Schizosaccharomyces pombe: one gene and its partners. Changing the gene in region 2 together with the main gene of any one other region gives a genetic interaction. Each region holds a gene or a part of one and is shown on either strand. Other genes may lie near its edges. The genes, in order: spo20, SPOM_SPCC126.01C, SPOM_SPAC9G1.07 and mca1.

Region 1 (7,508 bases), on a different chromosome or scaffold from region 2:
TATTCTGGTTCACTATAAAGAGTCTCTCTTTACGAGCTTTCCGTAAATCATCTTGCGACTGTCCCTCAATCCAAAACGCAGATCCATTTGCCAGCAAAGTCTTTAGTTTACTTCTATTTTGTTTAGAAATCTCGAAAACACTGGAGTCAACTTTGTAATCACCCAAAGTATTCGATTCGGAAAAAACTGCTAGCGGTTGATTTTGCTTCTCAACTTCTTTAAATTGGGATTTCTCACGATCTACTTGCTCATTATACAACTTTTCGGCTTCTTGAACGACTTTAACGATATCTTCAACATACATGCGAGCAATTGGTGTCAATTGCTTAGAAATTGAAAACACATCAGCCGCTTCAACCGGTTTACTGGCGGCAATCGCAATAAGTAAACGATTTGGCAACACATAGCGAACACTTTCATCTTCTTTTCGGGCTACGGAATCTCTCCAATCGTGCAGTGCTCGATAAATCATCAAAGCTTCCCGTCCAATTATTTTAGAAGAGCCAAACTTAGTAAGTACATTTCTCCAGCCATCAGTACCAAGTCCATAAATAGGATCATAAGGCTCAAGTTCATACTTTCTAAGAGATATTTGTTTACTGGAATTGAACACTGATTGCATAAGATTTTCTTTTCTTTCAGCTGATTTTGATATGAGTTCATTTCGTAAATGATCCCAAATATATAACAAATAATGCGTATCAGATTGAGCATATTTTAACATTTCCCGAGGCAAAGGACGGATTCTCCAATCAGCCATTTGGTATCTTTTATCTGCATCATAATCACAATACTTTTGTAACAGAAAAGCCAGACCATGACCCTCAAATCCTAAAACTTTAGTAGCATAGTATGTATCAAATAAGTTTACAACGTAAAGCCCGAAATCTCTTTGCAGCCAAATGATATCCATAGTTGCACCATGAAAAACTTTAATGATATTTGGATTAGTAAAAACAACATTCAAAGCTTCAAGCTCTTCGCGGAGTTCCAAGGTGTCAACAATCCAATCTTTTTCTCTATTACTAATTTGCATTAGACAGACGAACCCTCTAAATGATCTGTAATCATGGTGTTCAAGATCAACGGCTATTTCTTTGCTGTTTTGTAATTCTTTTAGCATATCCGATAACTGACTTTCAGTACTAACCCAGATAGGTTCTGTTTCGTCGACAGAGCCAGTATCGATGGGATTAGACATTTCTGAAACCCATGGAGGATATACGCTATTTTGTATTTCTGGTTCATATGGATGTGGTAACGAGTTTTTGAGACTAGGGTCCAATTTGACTTGAGCGATAATCTTTTCGAGCGGTACTAACGAATGTGGTTTTTCAGTTAACTTCCAAGACCACACAAACTCCCTGGAATTATTAGGCTGTACTCGAAACCTTAATTGAGGCTTAGTAAGATGAGCTGCGTGAATAACCTTGTAGGGCAACTTTTCTTTCTTTGGTTTTTTATTGGCAACATCGCTTGTCGACGCATGGGTTTCGATCGCTGGCTTTTTTAAAAGTCCTTGAGCTTTATCGATAGAATAGTCCTATATTCATACGTCTTAGTTAAATAAAATCCGTTTACAATTTCAAAAATTCACTTACAGCTTTTTCAAAGAGTATGTCTAATGTGTCCGATACTTCTGCCCATCTATTATCTATATCTTCAACGTCCACAATATCCTCCGCCCGACTTCTGTCTACTTTAGAAAGAAGCAATTCAATTAATCTCATAAAACGAGAAGAAACACTTTTTATGTTTTCATTGAATTCGGTATCAATTGATTTATAAAACGGTATATCAACCTTTGCCAATTCAGAGCAATAGGCTGTACTATTCATTAAACCCTTAAACAATTCTGACTCATCCATTATGCTATTGTTTACCCTACTGGATCAGTAAGGTTTTTGGTTTGGTTCAGGAATTTTCAAGCACTTTTACCACACGCTCAACGAATTACCGAACTTGAATATAGACATCGTTAAAGTACGAAATACAAGAGCTATTTTTATATATATAAAATATTTTACACAAATGCAAAATCTTAGCAGAATTATGTAAAAGCAATTATTTATGATTAGTTCAAAATTGTGAAACTATTAGCAGGCAACTATAGAGAGGTCTTTTATAATATAGGCATTCAATTTTGATCAAAAAGTAAAAAAATAATCAAAGTAGATGAATTACAAATTTAAAAACTTCGGATAATCTAGAATGGATGAAACAATCAAATCAGTTGGATCATCGAGCGTCCTTTTTTGGAAAATTAATGAACGATATATGTATTGAGACCTTCTATAAGGATTAAGAATTGTAACAGCAACCATCCCATGATGTTGATGATGGATCAACACATGACTTTCGAAATAAAATATTTATATATGCTTCGATCTATATACGATAATTTCGTCGAATAGTAAACCGTAAGTAGAAGGAAGTACCTGAGATGCTGAGTAAAAATAGAACGAAGACCTTTAAGAACTAAAACGCAGAACAAAGTTGAAAGATCGGCAAAAACTCTACACACTATTACTCTTATCAAAGGACAAACCACATTCATCTATTCTAGCAATTAAATCCCGTTCGGAGAAAGAAGTCTAATTTTTGTTCATCCACTGTTCTTCATGCCATGGACCGGCGTCAGATAGTTCGCAGCCACCTGGACATTGGCAGTTTCCACCGAGTTTAGCAGGAAGATTATCAGCAGGGATTTGTTCGAGCAGAGCACTCTTATAGTTTGAGCCTAAAATATGAATTTTTTTGACAGTTGCCTCATCCAAAAAACCTTTGATAAGATTAAAGGCAGAAGAGAATCCCCAAGGAGCGTTAATTACATAAAACTTGCCCATCCTTTCGGGGTAATAATCTTGACTCTTTAACGTGTTAATACTTGAAAAAAAAAAAAAAGAACAAAAATTTCAACATTTTCAACTTACAATGCTTGATGCTTGACGAATGTAGCTGTAAACCGAGTGAATACTAGTAATACCAACACCCTTTAGATCCATGATTGTGCACGAAGTTTCAATCAAGCCTCCTGCTTTACGAGAACAAGCGGGCTGAAGACGGTTAATAAAGATGAAAAGAAATATCAAAATGAAAAAATATATCACAAAAAATTCAACACAGTAGAAAACCAAAAGTTTTTCTATTAAAAAGCCGAAAAACCAGCCTTATATGGAATATGCAAATCCAAAGGAAAGGTTTGATTATGAGAATTACTGGAGATACATTTAATCATTTGAATTTACTTACAAACCGTTTTAAAGCAAGCATTTCATATTCATAAACCAAATTTTGCATCATACGCTCGGGAGTCGTGATTTGGTACAACTTCTTCAAATCAATGTTACCGAGTTGCTCAACGTATACCGGACGGCCGTCGATGTCAGTTTTATGATAAAATTGAGGGTAATATTTGGAAACGGCTTCTTTCTCATCATAATGAAAGTTTTTGATAAGATCATCAACACCAAATTCTTTTCTCCACTTTTCGCATTTAATAAACATTTCCAGCGACTGTTGCAAATTAAATTTACGGGCTCTCAAAAAACGCAACTAAGAATCCATTAGTACAAACACAAAGTTTCCTGCTGTACAACTTACTAAAGTGGCATCGTCTAATCTTTCCGTGTATCCAAGTTTTTGTAACTCTAAACGCATGCTATCTAGCGTAGCTTGCTGTGTAGAATTCAAATGCCCTGGGTGCCCTAATGGAGCATTTGGATTAGTTAGAGGATAAGGATCCGATATAGTTTCTGACATCTTTTTGTTTAGACGATGGTTGTAGAGAGAAGACCTAATGACCCAGTCTGTACAAGATGTATAAAGGAAAAGGAAGAACGTCAGCGACCTTAATACTAGTGGTCATCAGCCGTGGGGGATCAGTCAAGCGTGGGGGCCTTTTACCTACTACCGCAGGAACCTTTGTTGCCATGCTACACCCAACGCTATTGTTATATGTGAGTATGAGGATAAACTTCAGTGTTAAAAATCAGATGAGAGGAAGAAGCTCCTCGTATGAGGTTTAAATTGTGTATAACCAATTTTTCAACTTGCATGAAAAGTGCGACAAATTTGAGATGCAGAATGGCCTTCAACGAGGCGTTGAAGGTAAATAAAACATGGGGAAAAAGTGACAATTTAACTTTGTGGAAGCATTTTTTCTTTACCAAAAAAAACGAACGATAGATAATGTTTATTTTATTTAAGCCTTTGAGTGCGCTTGTGGTGATTTTCTGTCATCAATATTTATGCACCTGACAGCTTTGAAAGAGTAAACCAGGCACTAAGAAGCGTTATAGTACATAGAGTATAGAATATGTAAATGGATGATCATATTGCGATTTTGAGATTGTTGTCTATGTAAAAACGGTATAGGAGTATCGTAGCTGGATATTTATGTGAAGTAAAACAGTTCAATTTTATGATTGTTCAGTTTTCGTATTATAAATGAGGAGTAGAAAATTGTCATAGAGTTGTGATTAAAAAAGAACTTTAAATAAGCAAATATAGTAAAGGAAAAGAAATTTTATTGCAAATGGAAAAATATTTCGTGAATAAGCAATTTAACAAAAAATACATATTGAAACGTAAATAAAGTAATACTATACGACATAAAAAATAAAATAAAATAAAATCTAAAGAATGAATAAAATAAATAATAATTAGACTAACAGCCACTTAAATATATATACAAAATTTTTTTAAAAACTAGTTTTGTCTCGCAAACGTAATTATTGTTTCCTTCTCTTTCGATCGAACTTCAGCCATAATTTTGAAAGCGTTTCTTCCACGCAAAGTTTAACAAAACATACAAGAGTGAAAGGCATTGCTTGAATGGACAGTCCATTTTGTACTTGCATAAAATTTTCAAGTTAGTATCAAATTTTCTACATGTTAGCAATAATACATTTATTTACATTGATTTTACCTTTAAAGACCTATAACAATATAAATTTTTGATTATTATATTAACGTTACGGAAGGATAGTATAATCGTCAAAATATCGTTATAATTTAACAAACGAATAAATGCAGGAAACAATGCATTACGCAAGCTTGTTACTAAAGGCAGGAAGCATAGTTTGAATATAGGATGAAAACCGTGGATATCAATGTTATAAGCATTTAACATTGAATAAGTATGGTAGAGGTGAAAAGAATCAGTACTACGTTTCTTAATTGGCAACCTTGCACCTCAAACCCAGCTGAAGTGTACTTTGCACACGAGTCTATTACTACATGGTTTTTTTATACATATTAAATAATAGCAATGGTTATTTGAACTGCAATAACGGTAACCCTACCCCGATATCTCCAAGTTTGAAAATTTACTGCTTTTATGAAAATTTAGTTTACAGTTTGTTTTGGAAACGATTATGCTATCAGTGCAGAAGCTGAAAAAAAGAAAATTTCGGGATAGTAAAATTGTTTTCATGTCATTTCCCTGGCGGTGGTTTTGAAAAGCCCGAAGTTCCATTCATTTGAGTGGCAACTTAATTTTTCATCTATTTAAAGGATGCAATTTTAGTACCACTCCGCCGTATCTTCTACCTAAGACATAAAGTTGTGAAGAAGAAAAAAAAATAAAGGTAGTTGGAAGAAAACCATCTGCATAAATTTCCTTTTAATCGCCAACTCTTTACACATTTGGTTGAGTGTGAAATTTTTACTTTTTCTGTTTCACCCTCTAGTTATTTCCATTCATTGCACCTTGTGTAAATATTTTATTTAAAAATTGGACCAGTTTATCAAATGCATAAAATTTAGTACTTTAATCTTTTAAAGCTAATTTTGTTTTTGTTACTCTGTCCTCTTAATTCTCCTTCATATTCCCTGTTAATAATAATAAATTAAAAAAATTTGATGTTTTATTTTGGTTTTACTTTTCAAGTCAATCAATAAATGTCATCCTCGTCTAAAGATTCTTCGTTCCAAGTGGAAACTCCTGTGCAGAATATTTTAGAAACCAGTACAAACTCCGAGCTTCAAGACCAGGTATCATCTCCATATGAACCAGACTACAACTCACCTGTCAAACAGGCTGCTGCTTCGATAAGTGCTTTACAAACACAAGACGACACTTTATTCAACAACGTTGATGAACGTACATTAGAAAATAAGGATGGGAATAAGTCAGATGATGCAAACTTTGATCAAGTATCCGGTATTCCTTCTGGAAGTTTGGAGATACCAATATTAAACTCAGCTACTAGCAACATTCGGTTAACTCCTTCAGATACTTATAATAATATTCCAGTTTCGGACACCAACAATGAGGAAATTTCTAAAAACATATATGGAGCTCCAATTTTAGAGTCAACTTCTTCCGACTTTCAAAGTAAGGATTCACTTTCCACTACTCAACCAAGTGTTTCGGGGGGAAACGGATCTACCTCTCAAAGTCCTCCTTCACTCGACGTTGAGCAAAATAAGCCTTTTTCGATATCCAATGAACCAGTGGAACAAGAAACTGAAAACTCTTCTACTAAAGATTTACAAGTATACGATTTTCAGACCGCTTCAGAGCATTTACCTGAACAATCCTTACAAAACACCACTTATTATGATCCGTCAAAAACTTATAGCTCGGTGAATTTTGAAGAAATTGAATATGGAAAGTCTCATGAGAAATTAGATTTACCTTATAGAACTACTGATTTTATTCCCTATTCTAAAGACTTGTCAACTAGTCCTGAGGCTCACAGGACTAGTATTTATTCGTATAGTGCTAATTTGCCCAATTATTATAATGAGCATAATGAATTACATGAACATCATAATCCCCAGACACCCAGTTCCCCGGAATCTGCGTATAGTCCTGAAAATTTGCAACTTAATCATGAAGCACAAAATGTTGAATATTTGGGTAACAATGCTGCCGAGAAATCGTTGCAAATGAACTTAGAGGATGAACAAAGATTTCAACAATTTTTGAAAGATGAAGAAAGTATAATGTCAAACTGGTATCCAGGGCAATTTCCTTCAGCTTCTCGCTTATTTTTGGGTCATCTAAATACAAAGAGCTTATCTAAACGAAATTTGTGGAAAGTTTTTAAAATTTATGGGCCTTTAGCACAGATAGTTTTAAAAGCAAATTATGGTTTCGTTCAGTTTTTTACAAACGAAGATTGTGCTAGGGCTTTAAATGCGGAACAAGGCAATTTTGTTCGGGGTCAAAAGCTGCATTTGGAAATTTCTAAAATTCAGAAGAAATATCAAAATCAAATAGAAAACATGAAGAAAGGATCACATGTTACCAAAAGTAATCAATATTCTGAAATGATTGGAAACCTTCCTTATCCCACTAGTAGCAGGTAAGGAATTATCGTTGCTGCAATTAATTTCGCAAAACATCGCAATTTTGTTTGTTTTTTTAGCCTTGCTAACGTAATACAGAAAACGCACGCGATCTCCTTTAATGTCGAAGGGTAAATCCTACGATAGAAAGGGATCTATATCCATGTCTAAAAACTTCAGCCCTGATTGTGAAATACTAGTCACGGAAG
Region 2 (6,738 bases):
TTCACATTCGAGACGATTTTGAATTACCGCTAGGTATATTTCTTGTTCAACTTCCAACAGCAGATGATATCCGTAGTCTCCCGCCTATCAATCCGAATCCGATATCCATGCCTAGCAATTTAATCGAAACGATGCAACGTATTTTACGTGGTATGGAGCTGCGTTCATACCAGCCAGGAAAATATAACAACCCATCTTTGCAGTGGCATTACAAAGTTCTCCAAGCGCTGGCGCTTGACGAAGAAATTCCGACTGACTTTGTTGATAATACTCTACCAAAATACAAAGCTATTCAAAAGGTATGAAAGCTTTAGTTGCCTTGTACAACCATGTTAACATTTTAGCGCGTCGGGGAGTACATGGGCGATGTTAATAATATTGTCGCTGAATATCGTAACGATATTTCTGATAAAAACGGAATAAAAGAGGAAGAAGAGGATCAGGGACCAATTGTGAAAAAGGCTCGAATAGAAAAGAGTGGAAAACCTATATTTGCTGAAGATGATCGTCTGAAGCAGCTTTACATCGAAGGAGTTTTGGACAAGGAGATAAAAGTAAGTACTTCATTTATCTTGTAAGATCTTGATTAGTAACAGTTCATATGAAGGCGTTAAAAGTTAGTCAACTTAAAGATATTCTCAGGGATCGTGGACTTAGAGTGAGCGGTAAAAAGGCAGATTTATTAGACAATCTAACGAACTATGTCAAAAAATTATAAACAAGAAAATATTAAAGGATTAAATATCAGCATCATGTTTATGAAACAATAATGGAATCAGGATAAAATTTCTTGTTTATAAAACGATCAAATTATTTTATTAAAGCGTATATGATTAAAAAGCTTTTGAGCATACCAACTCAGAATATAGGGAACAGGAAGAAAAAGAATTTTGCCGCAAATGATAATGTGTATATTGTAGAATGTAATATGTTATTACCTGACTACGTCTTTCTCTGAACTTTCGACAAACAATTCAACCTTCACTAACGTATGCTTCTTTTGAGTGTTTTTTTAATACATATAAGTTAATTTTTTTTTCAAAGTAGTATAAGTCGTAAATTGTATCAATTCTATTTTTTGCCGTATAAGTTAAATATTTTATAGTAATCATAGTCTTAACGTATATTTAAATACTAAGAAGGTATCGGACACCTACATTCACATTTTAAAAAGATTTCTGAGAAAACAGTAGGATGTTAATTAGATCGCGCGAATATGCGTTTTGAACTCAGAAGTCAATTTGTAATCTTAAAGTTCTGCACCTTGTCCTCAATCTAACCATTATAAAGACTGTAGTTTAAACTATAGAAAAAAGGTCTTAAAGCAAATAATACTTTAATAACACTACTTAATTGAATTGCTTTTGATATTTTGTTTCGTAAAAGTGCTGTTTATTCAAAATTACGATTTTTCTTTGCTAAATTTTTTTTCTTTGCATTTCTTTGAATTTTTGTGAAACTTGACGAACATAAAAAGTGCCTAATAACAATTTAAATTTTCAATAAATATTGCACTAACTAATATATGGTCAATACAAGTAACCGAATTCAGCTTTTTATGTGATACGGCGACGATCAAATGCAAACCAACAATCCTTCATACTTTTTTCGCTCCGAGAGTGCGTTGCAAGATGAAAAAAGAAAAGAAGAGAAATCACATAATCCAAATGGGAATCCTAGAAATTTAAAGGCAAAGATTTTGAATATTGAGCTAGATCGGACTACACCAAAAAAGAAGCAATTCCCTAGACTATTTGTGTGTGAAGCTTCTCATATATGCAAACTTTATGACTTGGAAATAAATAAAACTTGCAAAACATATAAGGGACACTCAGGTCCTGTCACATGCTGTCAAATTGAAAGTCTTCGAAAAGACGGCAAAGTACGGCATATTTACACTGGTTCTTGGGATCATACCATAAAAAAATGGAATGTCTCAACAGGTGAATGCGTTGAAACGCTAATTGGTCACACTGACTACGTTAAATGTCTACTGTTACTGGAAGAAGAGGGATTACTGTTATCTGGGTCAACAGATGCTTCCTTAATAGTATGGGATGTTTCTTCTCAACCAAGTCGCCTACTGTACAAGCTTACAGGACATAGTCGTGGAATCGAGTGTATTACCAGACAGCCCAACACAGACATTTTTTGGACGTGTGGCAGCGAAAGCAGTATTCGGTGTTGGCATATTACTAAGGTTGGCGGCAGTCAGTTAGAGGAAGAAGGTTTTTGGGGACACCAGTCCAACGTTTATTGTTTACTGTTTGATCCACAAGATTCTGAGGCATTATGGACAGCTTCGGCAGACAAAACTGTTAGAGAATGGTCCTTGTATCAAGGTATACACGAAGAAACTAGAATGGAACACCCAGACGTATGCACTGATGTTCTTACTCTAGCTGATGGAAATATAGCAACAGCATGCAGAGATGAAGAAATTCGTGTATGGGATACAACAACTGGTAATGTAAAAGATATATATTCTGGGCACTATGAATCAGTGACAAAAATTTTACAGTGGAAATCTTATTTGATTAGTTCTTCCCTGGATCAAACGATAAGAGTGTGGGATTTAGAATATTCTGCAGACAACAACGAAGCAGACGATCACCCATCATTGGGACCCCCTTCTACCAAGTTAACTGCAGAAGAGCTTGCAGAGCTAGAGGAATTGATGAACGATTGATGTTCAACTACTGTTGCAAATAATTCTTACATTTAATCAGTAAAAAAAACGCTCCCTTTTTTGTATAGAATCAGTGCATTGGATTATTAAACGAATATGGAGTTTAAAAAATAAACAAAATAAGGAATCGGATCAAGAAGTTAGAAAATAGATCCTTTTGTCCGAATTCATATATGGCAATGCGAGTAGCTGCTTATAAGGAAAGCCCATCAACTAAAGAAGTAAATATAAGAAGAAAGAGTTGGAAAAGAAAGCAAAAAAAAATTAATTATATGCATCACGTCAAGAGTAAAGCAAGTCTTTGATAAAAGGTTTACTCACCTTTTTCCTAGTAAAACTTTATGGAATGCAGCTCGGCCTCGCACACAATATGACTCATGAATGTTTGGAAACCACTGACTAAATGTACATCCGGTCGAGATGAGTATAATAAATTCGAAAACCCGCTATATGGGTAAATATCCGTAAATTTGAAATTCGAAAGAAGTATGGCCAGACAGTTGCGTGACAACAAAGCATGTCATTCCGATGAGAATAGCCAGAATATTGAAAGGTGAAATGAAAAAGAGAGATAGCAATGTAAAATGCCGACAAAGAAGAGCCTTTGCTAAGAAAAAGGGCTCTTGAAAGTTCGATAGTAACCTAATTAGCTTTGGGGAATTGAAGTGAAAAGAAAAGCATAATATTGGAAAGGCATGCAAAAAGCGCTTTCCCCAATTTTTCGCCAAACAACAATACATAATTTTCGTTTTTTTAACAGAGAATAAGTATACAACAATTCACCTATCTGTATGTAATTAAAGAATGAACATTGTCGCACGACGAAAACCAACGTCAAATCTGATCAAATGTAGATCAAATGGAAAAAAAAAGAAAGAAAGTAAATAACACCAATGATGAATTAAAAGTCATTCTCAGGAAAAATTTCCTTTCGTCTTTCCGCCCAAGTGCCGATATTATCTATGGAGAATTTGATACATGAGTCTATACATGGAAGTATGTGCGAGGCAGAAAAGGTACTAATTTTGATGAATGATTTTTTGTGTTTGGCGCTTTATCAAGCAACCATCAACGCTGATAAAGCTGAAAAAGGGTCGCGAAAATTTTTTTTTCGATACACAGAGTTAAATTCTTGTTTGTAGTGCCGTCAATGTATGAACGGGATGTGTACGACGCCATTTCCCTCCCATTCCTTTATTCACTTTATCCATCCATAAACCTCCTACTTGTTTATCCCCTAATAACCGCCTCTTCCTAGGAATATTAAAGCGATTTCCCCAATAGGGCATTTCAGTGTAGCTTCCCAATTGGCTTTAATGTATCGAAGCGTCGCCCTATGGGGTCATACCACGCAGCGTTTAGCTTCGCCCGTACACATGACGAACGCCCCTTTGGTCATTACAGAGGCAGATCGATGATTGGATTCGCTAAACAGTCATTCATCCAAATACCACCATTCATCGATCGCCTCTTATGCGGGCAGTCGTCGAGACTCCTGGAGACCGCCCTTAGCGACGAGGTAAGAAGGGAGATATCGGCGGCAACTCGGAAACTTACGATCACGGATCAACGGCTACCCATCCAATCAAATTAATAGCGAGAAAAGCCGCTTCTATGATGTCAAACTTAAATTCTCTCTTGAGCAAGTTTAAATAGAGGCTGGTAGCCGGCTCCATCAAAGGGGAACCCATCTTTCCGACTAACCGGATTTGTTTACATTATTCGTTTTGCAGGTATTTGCAGGAAACCCAGCAAAACGTATTCAAGAGTTCGCTGAACTTGACTAATTACCATTGCTTTTTTCCTGTATTTGATCCTTTTTCTCGTCCTTTCGTCTCACTCTCTTTTTGTGCGTCAGTGGGAGACAGCGGTGTCGCTCATTACATATTAGCAAAATGTCAATAACATCTTCGAATTCACACAGCATGAATGATACAAACGATGTGATGCATGTCCATAGTGAGTCTATAAGTCCAAAAAAGGTATGCAGGGCGTTTGACTATTGATTTAGAGGTTGCGCTAGTACCAGAGGATCCTTGGTCGAGTCCTATAGAAAAATTATTTTTTCCCTCTTTCACTTTTTCTTATAAAAAAAAAAAAAAAAAAAAAAGGATGTTGCTCATGAAGGCATTTTCACTAACAAATTCTTTTCTTTAGAACGATTTAGACATTGAGCTGGGAGAATCGGTCGTCGAACCCCATTTGTCCAATAATAGTATCGCCAAACTTGATACATACGAACTCGAAGAGAACGAAGATATCTCTGACTATGCCTATAAACTTGCTGGCATTTCCAATGAACATCCTGCTCATCCACAAAATTGGGGCTGGTGGAAAAAAGCGTACATTGTGTTGCTATCCACGTCACTTCAAATGTATGTATTTTGGACACCCAATTTCTATCCTGGTGTACAAGACTCTGTTATGGAGTTGTGGCACTTGTCGTCTCAGGTCTCACTTTTAGGTCAGAGTATGTTTGTTTTGGGTGTCGCTTTGGGCCCTCTGTTCTTGGGTCCGCTGTCCGACCTTTTGGGTAGGAAGTTGGTTTATATAGGCTCTTTAATCATCTATGTGTGTTTTTGTATATCCTGCGCTCTTGCCCGTAATTATGCGCAACTCGTCATTTCCATGCTGATCATGGGTGTCGTGGGCTCCACCGCTTTAGGCAATGTTGCTGGAGCTGTCGCCGACGTCTTGGGCGATGAAGATTCAAATTGGGGCATGTACATGTTTATTTTCATGTGCTCCGTTGCATCCGTGGGCTCACCCATGGGAACCGGGGTTGCCGAAAACCCAAAGTTGACTTGGAGGTGGTTATATTGGATTGATGTTATTGTAGGCGGATTTTTCATCATTCTCTTCGTCTTTACCCCCGAAACATTGCCCGCCATTGTAATACAACGTTATGAGCAAAAACGTCAAGGGCTTCCAGTTTCCTGGTTTCCCCAGTTCAGCTTGAAGAAACTGGCAAAGGACACATACTTTGTCTTTTTCATGGCCATAAAGATCTTCTTTAGTGAACCCATTGTAAGCTCATTAGGAATATACAACGGCTTTGTCAATGGTCTTTTATATTTCTTTTTACAAGCCATTTGGCCTGTGTATTTCTCAATTTATAAGATGTCAGATATGGCTGCTTCATGCACATATATGGCTGCCATGCCTGCTTGCGTAATTCTCCTCTGGTTTGAGCCTTTACAGTGTTGGTTATATAAGCGTGATAAGCGAAAACATCAAAATCGTCTACGACCAGAAGCACGCTTTATAATGACTCTGTTTTACGTGTGGGGTTTCCCAATTGGTATCTTTATGTTTGCTTTTTGTAGTAAAGTGCATATTCATTATATAGTGTCATTGATCGGTTTGACCATTTTCAATATTGCCGATTATCACATTTGGCAGGCAATGCTTTTGTATGTTACAGATGCATATCCCAATGTTTCAGCATCTGCTGTCGCCGCCTTCGAGCTTCCCTCCAATTTAGGTGCTGTCGGCTTTATCCATCTTAGTGCTTTAATGTTCAGCCGAATGAACGTCCATTGGGCCACAGCCGTCGTAGGCTTTGCTTCCCTCCCTTTAATCGCCTTGATTTATGCTCTCTACTTTTATGGCGACCGAATTCGCGCTCGTAGTAAGCTAGCGTCTCAAAGAGTTCCAATCAACACGGCTGCCCATTAGTCACGAATATGTATGAAGTATAATACATCAAGCTTCATATACCCCATCCGATCGATAAATTGCACCAAAATGTACTTGGTGATCTTACTGATAACTTTGTTATTATAACTTCCTGCATGAAATAATAGGTTGAAACCGGATTCACTTGTCGCATACGCACTTCTTCATACTTTTAATATCTTTCACATTTTGTTTATGATTCTATAATCATGTTTTTGTCGTTTAATAACAATATAAAAGGATTTCACATTTTTTGCCAGAACAGGCTTTTTTCCATTCCCTCTACTCCCTCACATTTAATCCTTTATTTTTTGAAACCGCATATTTAATTGTGAACAATAATAATAATACGGTAATCATTATTATTTACG
Region 3 (7,067 bases), on a different chromosome or scaffold from region 2:
TCCCGAAACTGATCCTCCATCCATATGCTCCATCAAAATCCATAATGTGTATCCGTCAACAAAACAACCGTAATACTGAATTACATTGGAACTGTTGCAATTCGATAACATAAATACCTCTTGTTCGATGTCGGTAATGTCGTCAATACCTGTTTCTAAATCAATCTGCAACTGTAAGTTTTTTGTGATACTAAAGAAGAGTAAAAATTAATTAGTCTTACCTGTTTAATAGCGATAATGTCGCCAGACACATTTTCACGTGCTTTCCAGACAACCCCAAATGAACCTGATCCTAATTTCCGTAGCAGAGTATAAGAATTAGCATTGAGAGGATACATTTCATCAATATTTTGACTGCTCAAATCTGAGGTTGAGCCTACTTTCGGTTTCGTTTTACAAGCACAAGCTAGATGCACCACGAAGTACTTTGTTTATTACTTAGAGGATTATAATGAGCTACTCCGAGACGCCTATTCCAGTAAACTTAACATTACCAACTTGTTACGAAGTATATATAATTAGACTAGTTTATTATAAAGTATCGAGTTTTATGTCTGAATCTACCAAAGAGACAATAGAAGTTTTATACGAAATAGGAACATTGCTTGGAACTGAACTTGATAAAACAACGCTTTCACTCTGCATCAGTCTTTGTGAAAACAACGTACACCCAGAAGCAATAGCTCAAATAATTCGGGAAATACGTATGGCTCAGGAACAAACTGTTGACACAGAACCAAGTTAATGGCAAGAAGTTTAATCTCAATAGTTGACCTCGGGGTTTAGTATTTCTTTTATCTAATGTCTTCTTTAAACAGTGTTCTACCTTCAAATGCATGCGCAGAGATTATTGAAGGGAAAGACAAGGTTCACAATGTAGTTATTTTAATGCATGGACTTGGAGATTCTCACAAGAGTTTTGCAAATATGGCAAAGAACGTTCCGTTGCCCAACACTAGTTATATTTCCTTACGTGGACCATATCGATTACCATTAGATTTTGAAAATCCTGGAGGCAATTGGATGTGGGGAGAGGATGTCCATTTTGATCAAAACGGGGAACTGCAATCTGAAGCCGATTTCTCTAAAAGTTTTACGATGATTTCAAATTTAATTGGCAATCTACTCTCTTACGGTATATTATCTTCTAGAATATTTTTTTTCGGGTTTGGTCAAGGAGCTATGGTTGCTTTATATAGTTGTTATAAATTGTCTACTAAATACCAGCTTGGAGGGATATTTTCCTTTGGAGGTACTCTACCGCTATCCATAACTTTGCCCAATCATCCATTTCATGTTCCAGTGTATTTGTTTGAAAAGCGATTGCATTGTTCATGCAGCGAATATGAAGAATCGCGATTACGTAAAACATTTAAACCATTTCACCTCACATGTTGGAATCGTGATGATAAAACTGACATGCCTTCATCCCCTAGAGAATGGTATACATTCGTTCAATCTATTAGTAAACATTTGTATATTCACAACACGTTGTTTGAAGATGCAATTCCTCTTACATCTTTTTAGAATTGATTTATTTAAGTTAACATTTGTTCACAATAAAGTTAATATTCATTTGGGCATAGATATAACAATAACTCCTCTAGCCATTATGTGATTAAAATTAGTACGTTTACCTTTTGATCATTAAGATTTTCAATCGACAAGATAACTAAGATCCGGAAGCTTATCAACAATTCTATTAATTAGTTGATTTTGGTCAACTGTTTTTATATTTCCACGCCCTGCTCTCTCATTATTAAGAAACGAAGTATTGATCGATTGAATAACAGCCGGAGTGTCTTTAGGAGCTGACAATGAAGTAGAAGGTGAACTAAAATTCTGAAAAATTAGAGTATTTGGCTCAACTTGAGACTCTTCACTTACATCATCAACGGAAGCAGAAGCTAAATTCGATGAGTTTTTCGAGGTATCTTGGGAACTGACCCATGAACCCCATTCAAAATTATCAGAGGTTGGATCCGGGGAAAGAGACGTTGATGAATTTTTTTTCTTCGTTTCTCTAATTTTTTCTTCAGAGTCAAGTTTAGCGATTGATGAATGTTCTTCGACTTCATCAACTTTTTTACGATCCAAACTTAGTGGTGATTTTGGAACAACTTCATCCTCTTTATTTATTGAAATTGTAGAACAACTGTTGCTTTCCCTCTCAATCAATTTGACTGGGGAAGAAAGGAAAGTATTTGCAGATAATTTGTGATCCTGTTTAACAGCAACTGTATTATTTAAAAGAGCCGTAGAAGAAGAATAATCCTTGGGAATTTCATTCGATGATAAATTAGAAAAATCAAGTATATCTGAAGGAACATTTATACTGGAAATCTTGGTCGTAGAAAAATTAGATAAAGGAGACTGTTCCGGTAACAAAATATTTTTGTCATTGATGGGCGGTGTGACAGGTGAATTGGTATAGCTTGCTGTTTTCCTTTTCTGCTTCTGATAAGCTGTTGACCAACAAAAAAGCACATTGCTTTTTCGATTTACATTAGACCGTTCTTGGTTCCATAAAGTCATATGTTCTTTAAGTAAACGACTAATGGTTCCTTGTTTTAGTTCTCCTAAACTTTTCTCATTGTATCCTAAGCGGATTAATTGTCTAAAATTGGTTTCCGAGGTAGCTGTAATACCTATATAATCTTTGGATGCCAATGAAATCCGTTTAGGAGGCTTGACAACGCCAAATGTGTAATCCAACTTTTCATTAATATCTTTCAAATTAAATGTGTCAAGATTGAGAGCATTTTCTTTCCAGACTGATGCCTCCATTGAAAAACTGACATCGTTAGTAATTGAGGGAATTGCTGAATTCGAGTTGGATATATTTTCACTACCCCATGCATTATGAGGATTAGAGGCGTTCGAAAAACTAACAGAGTTCAGCAAATCATCCATATAAATCACATTCCAGTTCTTTAAGTTGTAGATTCTCAATTTAATAATATATGAGTGGATAAAAAAAACGTAGGTGCCATCAACTTCGGGTTAAAAAGAAAACAAAAAGAGCCTTAACTATACTTCTTTTATAAAAGGAACCTTTTTAGAGTATTAGTATAAATGCTCAAGATGAGTTGAAAGCGGTTCGGCTAGGGTAAGCGACTTAAGCCACCACATCGTGTGCAACGCAAGTAGGCAACTTAAATCCGTTCAACGTATTTAGTGTGAAATTAAAAATAAAATAAACTCAATTAAATTTCCGGAAGAAGAATAAATTTTATAAGTAATCATTTTAAAATAGGACAGAGTTTTTTAACAAATTTTAAGCTAGTAAACAATTAATCTAATACTCTGGCGAAAGTTGCTAGCTTTATTAAAGAGGAATCTCATATGGACTGAAGCATCGTGCAAATTTTTGAAAATTACATTTGGTAAATTAAAACCTAGATTATTTCATCTAAATAATATGGCTTAAAGTGCGCATAAATATGGATGCTGGTTTCAAATCATTTGAATATTATGTCTTGTGCAAAAAGCTCTTTAAAAAAATTACAGAAGTGCAAATGTACCACATATTTCAAGTTAAAATGAACCCTTCTAGGACTTCTAACAATTTTAGTAAATTTTCTCACTAAATCAATTATAATCTACATGAAATGAATCTAACATCGCACTCTTTATCGTTAAAGAATGTTTCATGGTAGCCAAATATCTTTCTTTTTTTAATTTTCCTAAAATGAAATTCTAGTATGGTTGAATTTATTACCGATCTGCATTTTATCGAGTATTATTGAAAATATTTCCATTTTTTAATTGTGCGCTAAGTATATAAGTCGCGTTATTAGAAAAATTATGATGTACTCGGTTAATTGAGCTCTAAAAAAAAAACAAAGTTATTAGTGTACTTCGCTTAAATAAGAATCTTATCTTCACATTCATACACAACTCACATCACGTTACGGAACTTCCGCTCCGCTCGTTTTTTATATTAACTACCAAAGACTATAATTTCATTCCTTTAAGCCTTCAGGAATGTCCATTCCTAAACAACTACCATGCATGGTACGTGCTCTGTATGCATGGCCAGGTGAACGTGAAGGTTCGTAACATTTAAAGATGCTGTTAAGTAACGTCGCAATTATTGATGTAAAGTTTAAAAAATATATATTAATGTGTTTTCAGGTGATTTAAAATTTACAGAAGGAGATTTAATAGAATGCTTAAGCATAGGTGATGGAAAATGGTGGATTGGCAGACATATCAATACTAATACACAAGGGATATTTCCTAGCAACTTTGTTCACTGTTTAGATATTCCCACGGTACGACCTGGCAGTTCTATGTCAAGAACTAGCGCTTCTAGCTTTAGATATTCTTCTCCTCAAAAAAGCTCTATAGACACCCCAATAACTTCATCTGATCAAGGTCTAACTCCTGATCTCGTTGGAAGCTCAAATGCTTTGAATAAACCAACCCGAGAGAGTGACTCACTAAAACACCAAAAAAGTCACCCCATGCTCAATTCGCTAGGATCAAGTCTGTCACTTAAGAAAAGCGTATCTAGACCGCCATCTTCAATGTCTCGTACCAACTTAGATGTCTCTTCCAGATGGGACAATACAGCCGATAACGACTCTCAGATTGATGCCCAAGATTTAAGTAGATCTACACCTTCCCCTTTAAGAAGTGCTATGGAAAATGTTCTTCAATCGTTAAATGCAATGGGCAAAAAAAGTTTTAGTCGAGCGAATTCCCCTCTTTTAAGACTTACGAAAAGCACTACAACTAGCAAAGAAACGGACTTCATTCCTGTCCCTCCTGCACATGGGTCCACAAGTATGACTTCTCGATCCAAGCTGGATGATTCAACAGATAATTCGTCAAAACCAAGAACAAGTTTGCAACCAGGAGAATCACCTATGAAGTCTTCAAGAGATATTTCTAGAAAACCTTCCATGGCTTCATCAGTTTTATCTCCGTCTGATTATTTTCCGCAGCACAGGCGTTTTCAGAGTGCTCCCGCACCTATTCCCAGACCCGTTTCAACATTGATACCACTAACTCAAGTTCGGACCACCGCGTCGAATGTTATAAAGCCAAGACCGCAAACAACGGAGCGACCCTCAACTGCTCAATCGTTTAGAAAAGGTGGTGGATTTTTAAAAAAAACTTTCAAAAAGCTTTTGCGTCGTGGATCGTCAAAACGTAAGCCCAGTCTCCAACCAACTCCTCCGGTAAGTTATCCGGCGCACAATGTTCCTCAAAAAGGTGTTCGTCCTGCATCGCCTCATACATTAAAATCAGTAAAAGATGATTTGAAACGTACAAAGACATACACGAAAGCCGAGTTTGCGGCGAAACGGGAAGAAATCTTCAATAAGCTTTCGATGCCGGTATATGAACCATTGAAGGATCTCAGTGAATGTATTGGGAATGTTTTAGCCGACGGCGAGCCAGTGCAGTTCTCTGTAGGTACTAATATTCATAACATGAATTTTAGTGCTATTGATAAACAAATAAGGTCAATTATTCCACAACGTGTCCAGGTCAGTCCTGCTGTACTTGCAAAAAATTATTTAGCTCCAGGACAAACGACTGCGCTCGCTCAAATGAGAGCCGTCTTTATATATATTTCTGAACGTATTACGTTCACTAATCAAACTTTGGACAATGATGAATTACGCACAAGTACACAAGTAATTTCCGAAGGACAGGGAACTCCTTTTGAAGTTGCACTGTTGGTTAAAGAAATGTTGCAAGCACTAGATTTATGGTGTGAGGTTATCGAAGGATATCTTAAATCACCAGATGACATCTATTATACCAGAGATATTAATATAAATCATGCTTGGAATGTTGTTACATTTGACAATGAGGTTCGTCTAATTGATGCTAGTTTTGCCAGTCCAACACACCCACAGCAGGCCTTGAAATCCAGCAGCTCCAATGATTTTTATTTTTTAATGAAACCAAACGAGTGTATATTTACTCACGTACCTGAGAATCCGGACCAGCAGTTTATAATGCCAGATTTGTCTATGCCTATAGTAATGGCATTACCTTGGGTATCGTCTGTGTATTTTACTTTAGGATTGAAGTTGCGTAAATTCAATACCAGTATTCTACATTTAAATGACCTTGAAGTTTTACAAATCGAATTTTTAGCTCCAAAGGATATTGAATGCGTTGCTGAAGTTGATGCTCTATCTGCTTTAGCACCTACTGCTGATGTTTCACAGTGTTATAAATACACGTTAACACAGGCTTTCTGGGAAACTCCGGATATTCGTGTTATGAGAGTTAAAGCTGTTATGCCTGCTAATAATCGTGCTGCGGTGCTAAGGATATACGCTGGTCGCTTAGGAGTCTCTAGTCCCGTGAGGACTGCACCTCATCCTATGGCAATGTCTCTTCCATTTGTACATCATGGCAAAAATAAAGCTCTAGAGTTTGTGACTCGTCATCCTGTACCACATTGTCCATCGGTTGATTTGTATATTAATTCCCCCCAATGTGGTACATTGCATTCTGGTGTTGAATACAAATTTAATGTTTCGGCCTATGCCTGCCAGCCATCTACCTCCATTAGCAATACCAGATTAGCAATACAGACCCCGACGGGAAACATTGTGCGTTTAAGAGAAGAACGATCTGGAAATGGCGTTATTTTTTTCAGCCTTTCCTTAACAATTAATGAAACAGGAGAATACAGAGCTTTAATTTTGGCTGAAAAGATAGGAAGATGGGTAGTCTATGCAACCTGGCAGGCGGTTTAAATAATTTCAAATCTTGCGACTTTATCCTATAAATTTTCCTATAAATAATGTCTGTTCTGTGTAATATTGAAGGTTGATGTTTACAACTAAGTCATTATTCATTTAATGTTTTTAATATATATCTATTACTATTGGAATCGTGATGTCCAAGCTTAACTGTATTCCCTTTGTTTCTTAATTTTAATGATTATAATAATGAGAAAGTTTTAACTATTAGATATGGCATCAGAAAAGCTAACAGTATCTTACAAAAAAAATTTTTTTATTAAAATCTTGCAAAAAATGAGAATTGTACTACGAATTCAAAAGGTCACTGACCATACTTTGATTGCAGCA
Region 4 (9,996 bases), on a different chromosome or scaffold from region 2:
AAGAAACTATAAAGAATCACTAAATGTATGGAATGTAAAAAGAAAGTAAAAATTTTAAATGCTAAAGCGTTTAATCCCAACTCGTCAGCGTTGAAATGAGTAAAATGGAATGCCATCTTTTTAAATGAAAACGCATCGTATAAATGAGCGGTAAAAAACGATTCTCAGAAAGAAATGTAAATTTGAATCCAATAACAGTAGAAGATGTCGTCAATAAAACACACTCAAGATACTACTAAATACCCAATACTTCCAATTGCAATCAAACCTAATCCAACCCACCAAATGGTATTGGTATGCTTCTGAGCTAACGGTACTAGAGGAGCCGTCCAGCGCTTTGCTGCAGTTTGAATAGTATTAACGGCAATAGTTGAGGTAGGGAGCATCTTAGGTGGACGGTAAGCTAAAAACATTGGCTGCTTTGGTGTTCCGTCCCATTCATAGAGCTCTAATTTGTAGCGACCATGGTATCTATCCATAGAAATTTCATATTTTTCCATAGTTTCAACTTGATCATAACGGGTGTAAACAGAAAAATTGCTAGTACAAGGATCGCTTTCTAATTGTCGTCCGTCTCCAACAAACGGAGTTAATACTAAAGTACCGGTATCATTGATAGCATAAGTTCCATGCTGCCATTGTAAAAAGCCTTTGGGACATTGAGGCTTTGTAGCTAAATTGGGTTAGCAAAAATATTAAAGAAAAATAATATCTTCTCTCCAACATATCCTTCCAAATGGAAGAAAGTTGGTTACTTGGGGAATTTCGCTAAACATGAACGAGAAAGTAGTCCGTATATCCCAATAGTTACGTCTTCATCGGCTTTAATTCCTTGGATCAACCACACTGTAGGTGTTGACTGGAGAAGATTTTACATATTATAGAGTATTATCACATACCATTTGATTTGATTATGTAAATAGCTTCCTCAAAAAAGCCATCATCAGTAAAGCTATAACTAATACCCGGTAATTCAGGTTCGAAGAAATCCTCATCCAAAGGGTCAAAGAAATCCTGCAGAGGGTTAGTTAGACAATTTTTTGAAAATCAAAAGTTAGCTTACGGGGCCAGTCAAAACAGTTTCAGACTTGGAAGACCAAGTTCCGACTAGATTTTCATCGTAATTATCAATTTCCGCACCAACATATTGGGTGAGCCACAAACAGGTAAACAAACCAATTTGATAAAGAAGATGCATTGTGCTGAATGCTTTCTTATAGTTTTCTAAAGGGTCGAATAAGAAGCTGTTACCAATGTTTATGCAAAAAACTTCTATATGGTTGTTGACACAAGTCTTCGTGTACTTGATTTATTTAGTTTTACGGGATAACGAGTCAAAAATAATACTTCACTAATATTGGTCAAGAGATTAGCAGCTTATATTTAATATAATGCTTAGACTATACTTTCGTTTGGATTGTATACATAATTCAATGTATCTGAAAATATGTTGGATTGAATTAATGCGTCGTTTATAGACTATATTGCCGATATTTAGGGACGAAGTAAAACTCATTACTAGAAAAAGTCAAACTGTAAAATATAAACAAACATCAATTTTAATTTCTTTTAAATAAGATAAATCTCAGCTTCCACTTTTTTTACTGTACACGTTAAAAAAAAAATCAACCATACGGATCAATCTCAGCTATTTTACTATGCCGGCGTTTGAGCAACAATGGTAGTTATTTTGCTTCTTTTTAAAATATTTTACCTCCTTTGTTGTTGACTGTATCCATTTTGTGCATTGATTGTTTGATAAAATGGTATGTTTGGCATTACAGGAGCACCAGGTATGGTAGCAGCAGCAGGAGAAGGAGAAGCCATCACCATTCCTGGTGGTGGAGGGGGGACAAGTGGTGCACCTCCAGGGCCCATTGGAACATTCATCATTGGCATAGCAGGCATTCCAGGGAAATGCTGTGCAGCAGTGAAAGGAAGAACATTAGGTATTGACAAGGGAGGGACGGCAGTAGTTGCTCCCACTAGAGGAACATTCGGTACAGGAGGTATCGATGTAGCAGCAATTGTTGCTGGAGTATTAGCAGCAGATGTTGGAGCAGGAGTGGCGGGTGAAAATCCTGGAGGCAGAGTACTCTGAGGAGTAACGGCAACTTTATTCTTTTTAGCGGCTGCTGCTAGCTTTCTTTCCGCAATATCTCCGTGACGTTCACCCTTTCCTTCGCGTTTAAAGGCGTATGACACGGTAATTGGTTTATTCATTAAAAACTGATTATTCATGGCCTCAATGGCTGCATCAGCGGTTTCAAAAGAATCGTAGCTAACAAAACCATAACCTTTCGACCTTCCATTCTCGTCTCTTGCTACCTGAGGTGCCTTGACAAGTTGTCCCAAAGCAGAAAATGTATCGTACAATACGCGTTCATCAACAAGAGGATCCAAGTTGCCAACAAATAAATTTGCACCAATTAAGGTATTGACTCCTCTGTCCTGGCTAGCTCTATTGACCCTTATAGGCTTTCCAAACAACTTTACTTGATTCAGAATTTGACATGCATACTCAACATCTTGTTCGTGTAAGAATTCGCAGAAACCAAAGCCATTATGACTATTCCTTACTCTATCTCTTGGAATATGAATATTTACTGTATGAATTAGTATCGAAAGCCACAAATACAACCAACACTCGAATAATTACATACCAACTGGACCTGCCTGCAGGCATAACTCAAACAAAATAGAATCCGTTACTTTTTCATCAAGATTGCCAAGATATATAGTTGCATCCTGATTCCTGTCTTCTCGAATACTCATTAATAAATAAGTAAAAATAAGTTAAAGTGTCTATTATAGAAATTTATTAGAATAAATAGATAGACACGTTTGAAGACGCTGGTAGAAGATTCAAGAAATTGGTGCATAGTCTCGTTATTGACTTAATGACGAGCACCAAATAGCACAATAGAAAACTAAATTACAGTATTCATCGTTAAAATTTCAGTGTCCAGCGTTTTCCAAACACATTTATGGAGATTTTTAATACTAAATCTTCGTTTTTTTTTTATTATTTTATAATTTTACTCATGAGATTGAATTATATTCAAGTTGAAGGTACAGTTGTGAATGGTAGACTGACGAAATATTTTTTATAGCAACCTATCTCTTTATACAGCCCTAATTTCCTTACATCCATCGTACACTAGTACATTTAATAGGTTCATTTATTAACTTTTTGTAAAAACGATGTTTGGCCATGTATATTTATTTTTGCTGCTGTAGTTTTGAACACAACTGAGGGCTTATTTATGTTACCCTAGATGGGCTTTTTACTCCCATGTGGTCTTTGTAACCTTCTTATGATCTTCACCCTTCAGGTGATACCACGACTTCAGTTGAATTTTATAGCTTTTCGAGTGTGTTTTTAATCAAAATATTTCTGTGATGTTGGTGTTTTGAAAAAGCGTACTTGTGTAGTCCTAGATGCCCCTTTTTTCTTTCACTTAAGTCTATTATTGTTTATGTTTAATTTTCTACTTGCAAACTTTTCGAAAGGACTGTTCGTAGCCTTTACGTTTATTGCTTATTTATTTTTTCTGATTTAAGCTCGTGAGCTTTTTCTAACAGACGTACGATCAGACAATTGGCACGTCTGCTTTTCTTTTCTTTTCTTTTTTAAGACCTGTCTACTCAACGCAGGATTTCTTCGATTATCTAGGTTTTTAAACGGTTTAAAAGGACACAGAATATTTTATTACTTCATTTTAGTATTTTATTTTCGACATGATTGCTGCTGTCGAAAAAGATGCTGTGCCTCGAAAAAGGCGAGTAATCAGTCAAGTATCTCAGGCATGCATTCGGTGTAGGCAGAAAAAAATAAAGTGTTCTGGTGAAAAGCCATCATGTCAAGCTTGCAGTAACAACAAAGTTGAATGCATTTGGCCTGATCGACCGAATATGCGAGGCAAAAAGCCATCTTCCGCTGCCAGAACCTTGAGTCCTCTTACTGGTATAGTGCAACCGTATCTGGGCTCTCATCCTTTTTCTCCTACGATCCTCTCTCCATCATCTCCTAACATGGATTTTACTTACTCTATTAATAGCTTTGGTGACTATCAGAAGCAGTTAAGGCTACCAACCAGTAGAAAGTTATTACAGCTTTGGGACATATTTCTTAAAACTTCATATACCGAACTTTTTGGGATATTTAATAAGGCCCAAATTACGTCTCAAATTGCAAGTGATACTGCTCCGCCAGTCCTCGTACTTTGTATATGTGCTCACGCTGCTCGTTTCAGTCAAGAGGAAGTCAATAGATTTAAATCTTCAACTGCAGCATCTGATTACTACGCAAACCAAGCCTTTTCACTGCTTCCTTGTCGTTTCCAGGATATTTCACTGACTAATATCACTTGCCTGCTCTTGCTTTGCTTAATTGAGTTGGGCTCTTGTAGAGGCGCTAAAGCCTGGCTTTTACTGGGTATGGCTCTCCGTATGGTCGATTCTTTAGATCTTGGTAACGAAATAAATGATAATCCTCTTACGATGGGATCCAACACTGTTTCATGGACTGAAGCCGAGCAGAAAAGAAGGGTTTATTGGGCTTGTTTTTTTGTCGAACGTTTGCTAAGTACAGGTTACATGGCACCTTCAAAATTGCGCTCACTTTCTTTATCTCTTCAAAAGACTAGTATACAATTACCTTGTCCGGAACCTAATTTTTTATTTAATCAGCCAATTCTTACTGAGTTATTTGATGGATCTTTACCGGAAAACACTCAGTCAGACACCACTTCAATGGCCCCATACCAAAGAAGTTTACAACTGGAGTTTATGACGGGTTCCCTAATCCGCTTGTCAAATTTGTGGAGTGAGATCTCAAGATGGGCTCTATGTGGTGGATACACGAAAGATATCACACCCCCTTGGCTAAATCAGTCTCAATTCCATCGTAGCTTTGAGCTTTTAAAAGCCTGGCATGAAAATTTACCTCCAAGAGCAGTTTGGTCATACACTAACTATTCGGCGTATAGTTCTCCCGGAGAATCGGCTGGTGCCTGTTACACTTTTATGCATTTGCTATATCACACTACCTTGACCTATCTTCTGAGAAACGTCTTAGATTTATTTCCTGAGAAGTCGAGGCAGAAATCCAAACTTTTTTCCTCTGTTTCACAACGCTTCGGACAACAGCCTCCTACTGTATGGATGGATATGATTTTAGATCAAGTCATTACTTCTGCTGATTTCATTACAAAACTTTCAAAGGACCCCTTAAACTACATAATGAGCCCATTTGTGGGGTTTAGTATATTGACTGCTGCTACTATCCATATGCTTCTTAAGTTTTGTGTTGTCAACATCGACCAAAATTACATTTCTTCCTCTCGACTTGTACACGTTGATCATCAGATTTTACAGGATCGATCCAAATATTGGAAAATTAATCAAGCAATGTTGGTAACTCTTCAGAGATTGTATAATTTCTACCGCTTTCAGTATTTAGAGGAACAGTCACTTTACAATTTCAAAATTCCAGGATTTCCTTTATGTATTCTAGAATATGGTATAGTGGAAGATCAGTCGATGAAGTCTAATCCTGATCTGAATTCATTTTCAAAAGAGTTGTTTTCAAGAGGAACAAACGAGCTTTTGAATAATGGCGATGATACTCAAAGTGGGAATTCGACACCTGCTATGGGTGTTTCTGAAATACGAACTGATACTATTCTGGATGAGGAAGTCCCCGTAGACCCACTGATCACTTCGATTTTAGATGACGGTCGCTGGTGGGAGGAAATGTTTGGATCAGAAAGGAAGGCGGGTTTTAAGGAAACGGTGTTCGAAGACATGAATGGAAGAAGTATTCGATTGTAAATTATACGATGTACAATAGTTTCTTTAGTTTTTGTTTCTTTATTCTTTTGTATACTAGCACTCTAATTTAAAAAGCTTATAATGCTTTACTTTTTCTACACCCCTGGAATTCCTTTTATTCACGAACTCGAAATTAATGATATTGATGGAACTGGTTACTTGAGTCAGTTTCTCATAACACTTATTGATTGCTTTTTATGCTTATTAATATAAGTTACTCATATTCTTATTAATGGGTAGTTTTATATTACTCATAGCGTAAATAAATATTAAATGGTATAACGGGAATTAAACTAAATTTGCTGATCATTAACTAATGCATAAATTTATTCCTCCTTATATAAGACATCACGGTTTAAGTCCTTTGGTTTCACAGATACAATACCAGATAGATGTAGCGTTAATTCCAAATCTCCCAAGAGACAACGAATGACATGACTAACACCGGATGAACCTTCAAGGGCTAACCCGTAAACATAGGGACGACCGATTAAAACCATCTTAGCTCCTAATGCAAGGGCCTTGGCAATGTCAGCACCTGAACGAACACCAGAGTCAAATAGAACATCTAATTTATCACCAACAGCATCTACGATCTTTGGTAGCATCGTCAAGGAAGCAACACCTCCATCTTGTTGTCTACCGCCATGATTTGATACAACGATGCCCTGCATGCCATATTCAACTGCCTTCTTAGCATCAGGAACATTCATGATACCTTTGAGAACAATTGGGCCATCCCAATGTTTACGAAGGAACTTCAAGTCTTCCCAATCATGGCTGATTCCAGGAAAGACAATTCCAGCAAACTCTTTAGCTGCCTCTAACATATTTTCTTCGACTTCCACACCATGCTTCTCCTTAAACTGCTTACGGAAAACGGGGTCGGAAAATCCGTGTTCAACACCGATGCTGTCAGGATTTAAGAATGGATCGTAACCATTGTCCATGTCTGAGGGACGCCATCCAAGAATAAATGTGTCAAGAGTAACTATCAAAACTCTGCAGCCCGTTTTCTTGGCGCGGTTGAGCAAACTAATGGTAATGTCTTGATGGTCATTGCTTGGCCAATAAAGTTGATACCATCTCTCTCCAGGACCACTAGCCTTTTCTATATCTTCAAAGCTGGTTGCAGACGCAGTACTGATAATATAGGGTATATGCTCTCTAGTTGCAGCGGCACACGATCCACTTTCACCCTCTGGATTGAAAATTTTTTGTACTCCTACAGGAGCCAAGGCAATAGGAAAAGGATATTTTTGGCCAAAGACAGTGGTAGACAAGTCGGGGAAACCAGACTTGATGAGACGGTTAGGAATGATGGACCATTTCTTAAAGGATTCCATATTTTTATCATATGTCTCTCTTTTTCCTGCACATCCGTAAACGTAGCCGGCGGCATCCTTGGTCATTCGCTCAACAGCCAGTTGCTCCCAGTGTCTGCCATCTACGGTGATTTGGGGTCTTTGAAACTTGAGACCTTTAGCGTAAATTTCGGACTCATATGAAATGGGCTCTTTTGCGTCAAACCAATTGTAGTTGCGGAACATAGTTAAATCGTATTGAGAATTTATTGATTACTTAGATAATGTCTTCGAGAAAGGGAAGAATCCAAAAATGTCGTAAAAAAGTAATAGAAATTAAAATGATGAGTTTCTTAACTTTTAAGGTTCAAAAGTCTTCTGATATTGCAATGAATGAGTGAAAATATCGGACCGACAATTTCAACTTGGGACGAGGAGTGTATAAAGGCGAAGTTGTATTTTTTTAATATTTCTTAACAGATAAAGTGGTATTTAAAAGTAATAGTTTATATTGTTTTTTATTACAGCAATTCAGTGCTACATTTATAACTTTTGGTTTTCGAAATTATGTAAATATGACATCTCAAGTTTCATATTAAAACATTTGTAAACGAATTCGCTTTCCGTACCCATTGGGAAAAGCGAAATCCCGTTTTTGTCCAAATTTGAAACAACCAGAGATGATTTCATGAAACCTTTCATTAATTATTTTCCTAATGAATTTAGATGTATTGCGCTCAGCTACAAAGTCCATGTTCATTTAGCATCCTTTCTTATACTACGATGGCAAAACGGCTAGCATGAAATCGGTTCATTTCTACAATATACAAAGTAATACTGACATTGATTTACCTGCTACTAAAAGGCCCACGTGCCCGTGGGTTTCTCTAGCTAGTTTTTCCAACAGGACATATCTTATAACGATATAATGGTGAGTAAGTTAAGCATATTATTTATAGCATAATATCGTAATGAGGTTGGTAATTAATATTTTGCAAATGGATTCGTCTTGTTCTGCAACTTTGACATGTTGCTAAACCGTTCAATCTATTCTTTGCTAAAGAGGCTATAGGAGGCCAGAATTAAAGGGGGTGGTTTGATGTCCGGAAAGCGTATCGACCGATATTGTAAAAAATTATAATGTTAAATAAGAAAAAAAAAGTTATTACTTTTACGTTTCAACACTCAATTCAACGTCTAAATGACAAAGGATGAACTCTTTAGGTGATCAAGTCAATAATACATAATAATGTTTGGTATGTAACAAGACAACAGACATAACTACGACCCTGTGTTGCTCCGAAAACGCCGCTGAAACTGGTACTTTGAGATTCATAATATATGTCGTCAGGGTGAAAAACTATTTAACAAAAAATAAAGTACATCACAACTATCAGATATGGGATAATCGATAAGAAACAAGAATATCTATTATTATTGTTATACTATTTATAGAATCACAAAATGCATTCTGCAATACTTGTAGCTATATTAACAGTTCTATAATCAACCAGTAGTGGTTGTATTCAAGAAATCTAACTAAATGCTACTTGCTTGATCACATAGTAAGCGTTCTTAAACACTGGAATTACCACAATTCCAGATTATAATAGTATGCAAGTATAACTATCCCGATATAACGAAACATTACGTCACTTCAAATAATGTACATCGTAAGAAGACTTAAAGGAGAAAAGTGCTCAAAAGGAAATTTTCTTCTAGATACAGTACAAATGAGTTTGTCGTATTAGTTATTAAAGATTAGAATTTAAAAACCCCGTATTTTTTATCCCAAATATTATTATTATTATGTTTTTTTTGGAAGTTTTATAATAATTTTATTTTTTTGGTACAAAAGGACAACTAAATTAGTTCCAACATGTTATACTTTAAAAGCAAAATACATTTTGTAGCTCCGAAAGCATTCATCTTTGGTTAACGTGATATAACTCATAATTTGATTTTTTTAACGGATTTATCTCCTTCCGCCAAAATATATCATTCTAGGCCTCGACTTGGAGGGAATAGAATTTTGACAGGTGAATTGGATTATTAATGAGTTTATTAAAAAATATCAGATTTATGAAACAGCTACTCTTACTATTGGCGTTCGGTTCTACCCAATTGGTTGTTACCAGTGTTCACGGATAATTAAATAGTTAAGTATGATGAGTGTTGTTTGAAGAGTTCATTTGTTGCTTTATTTAATTAATTTTAATATTAAAAGCCTTATTTTAATAATTGACAATTGTTAATTAACGAAACAAGTCTTGCCTTTCTTATAAAATGAATAAATGAATAGGACAAGTTTCAATCCAGTAGATAAATCAAAGTTCCTTTTTTACATTTATTATTCCATAAATTCAAAGCAAACCTCACCTAAAGTTAGCCATATCATAAATTATACTCATCTTTCTACCAGCACATGTATGTGCGGGATGAATCTCTCTTAGGCGCCTTTTAACAGGTAAAGTACCTTAAAATTTAAGAGGTGGAGAGACAATGGATAACACATAGTCAATAAATCCCGGACGCCTGCTTTCTTCCGAAGATGATTTCTTGATAAAGTGGCTTTGTACTATATTGAATTGCATAAATTAAGGCAGACGTCAAACTTCTGAGGAATGGCCATGAACCCCAGCGGTATGTTTCACAACGGGAAAAATATTGCTATTGTGAATATGTTCACTGCCTAGATCATAATTTCGCTAGTCAAACCAATCACACTAAGAAAATCCAAATGAACGCATTAGTTTTATTAATTTTTATTTGAAAATTGATCAAAAACGTTTAACTGAAGGGAGCTACACAAGTTTCGGATGATAGCAGATATTATGAATTGTATCGTTATACCATT

Evidence for each region.
Region 1: mutations in SPOM_SPCC126.01C (region 2) and spo20 together harm fitness more than expected from each alone (negative genetic interaction), as found in Schizosaccharomyces pombe (one large-scale study listed by BioGRID).
Region 3: mutations in SPOM_SPCC126.01C (region 2) and SPOM_SPAC9G1.07 together harm fitness more than expected from each alone (negative genetic interaction), as found in Schizosaccharomyces pombe (one large-scale study listed by BioGRID).
Region 4: mutations in SPOM_SPCC126.01C (region 2) and mca1 together harm fitness more than expected from each alone (negative genetic interaction), as found in Schizosaccharomyces pombe (one large-scale study listed by BioGRID).

What each region holds. Positions count from the first base shown.
Region 1 is NC_003424.3:605,246-612,753, reverse strand, and holds spo20 (sec14 cytosolic factor family, phospholipid-intermembrane transfer protein Spo20/Sec14), read right to left. Parts: upstream 3,786-7,508; 5' UTR 3,763-3,785; coding exon 3,604-3,762; intron 3,556-3,603; coding exon 3,253-3,555; intron 3,226-3,252; exon of another isoform or gene 3,057-3,225; coding exon 2,934-3,056; exon of another isoform or gene 2,912-2,933; intron 2,871-2,911; coding exon 2,595-2,870; 3' UTR 2,051-2,594; downstream 1-2,050. Other genes in the region: exosome 3'-5' exoribonuclease subunit Rrp6, read right to left, coding at 1-1,543, 1,602-1,868; poly(A)-binding protein Nab3, read left to right, coding at 5,905-7,316, 7,399-7,508. UniProt on the Schizosaccharomyces pombe protein: Required for transport of secretory proteins from the Golgi complex. Catalyzes the transfer of phosphatidylinositol and phosphatidylcholine between membranes in vitro. Essential for viability and secretion.
Region 2 is NC_003421.2:2,111,267-2,118,004, reverse strand, and holds SPOM_SPCC126.01C (uncharacterized protein), read left to right. Parts: upstream 1-1,579; coding exon 1,580-2,689; 3' UTR 2,690-2,799; downstream 2,800-6,738. Other genes in the region: Ku domain protein Pku70 , read left to right, coding at 1-299, 345-554, 608-718; SPOM_SPCC576.17C (pyridoxamine/pyridoxine/pyridoxal transmembrane transporter), read left to right, coding at 4,615-4,671, 4,847-6,367.
Region 3 is NC_003424.3:1,979,028-1,986,094, reverse strand, and holds SPOM_SPAC9G1.07 (Schizosaccharomyces specific protein), read right to left. Parts: upstream 3,103-7,067; 5' UTR 2,914-3,102; coding exon 1,888-2,913; exon of another isoform or gene 1,843-1,887; coding exon 1,657-1,842; 3' UTR 1,553-1,656; downstream 1-1,552. Other genes in the region: PAK-like GC kinase Sid1, read right to left, coding at 1-165, 222-338; putative mitotic spindle organizing protein Mzt1, read left to right, coding at 551-745; SPOM_SPAC9G1.08C (phospholipase), read left to right, coding at 802-1,527; cytokinesis protein Cyk3, read left to right, coding at 3,988-4,054, 4,138-6,731; actin cortical patch component Aip1, read right to left, coding at 7,034-7,067.
Region 4 is NC_003424.3:2,982,175-2,992,170, reverse strand, and holds mca1 (transcription factor), read left to right. Parts: upstream 1-3,317; 5' UTR 3,318-3,741; coding exon 3,742-5,835; 3' UTR 5,836-6,161; coding exon of another isoform or gene 6,162-7,385; 3' UTR 7,386-7,438; downstream 7,439-9,996. Other genes in the region: chaperone Rot1, read right to left, coding at 225-673, 900-1,014, 1,064-1,198; U2 snRNP-associated RNA-binding protein Sap49, read right to left, coding at 1,711-2,606, 2,664-2,775; SPOM_SPAPB1A11.03 (L-lactate dehydrogenase (cytochrome)), read right to left, coding at 6,162-7,385.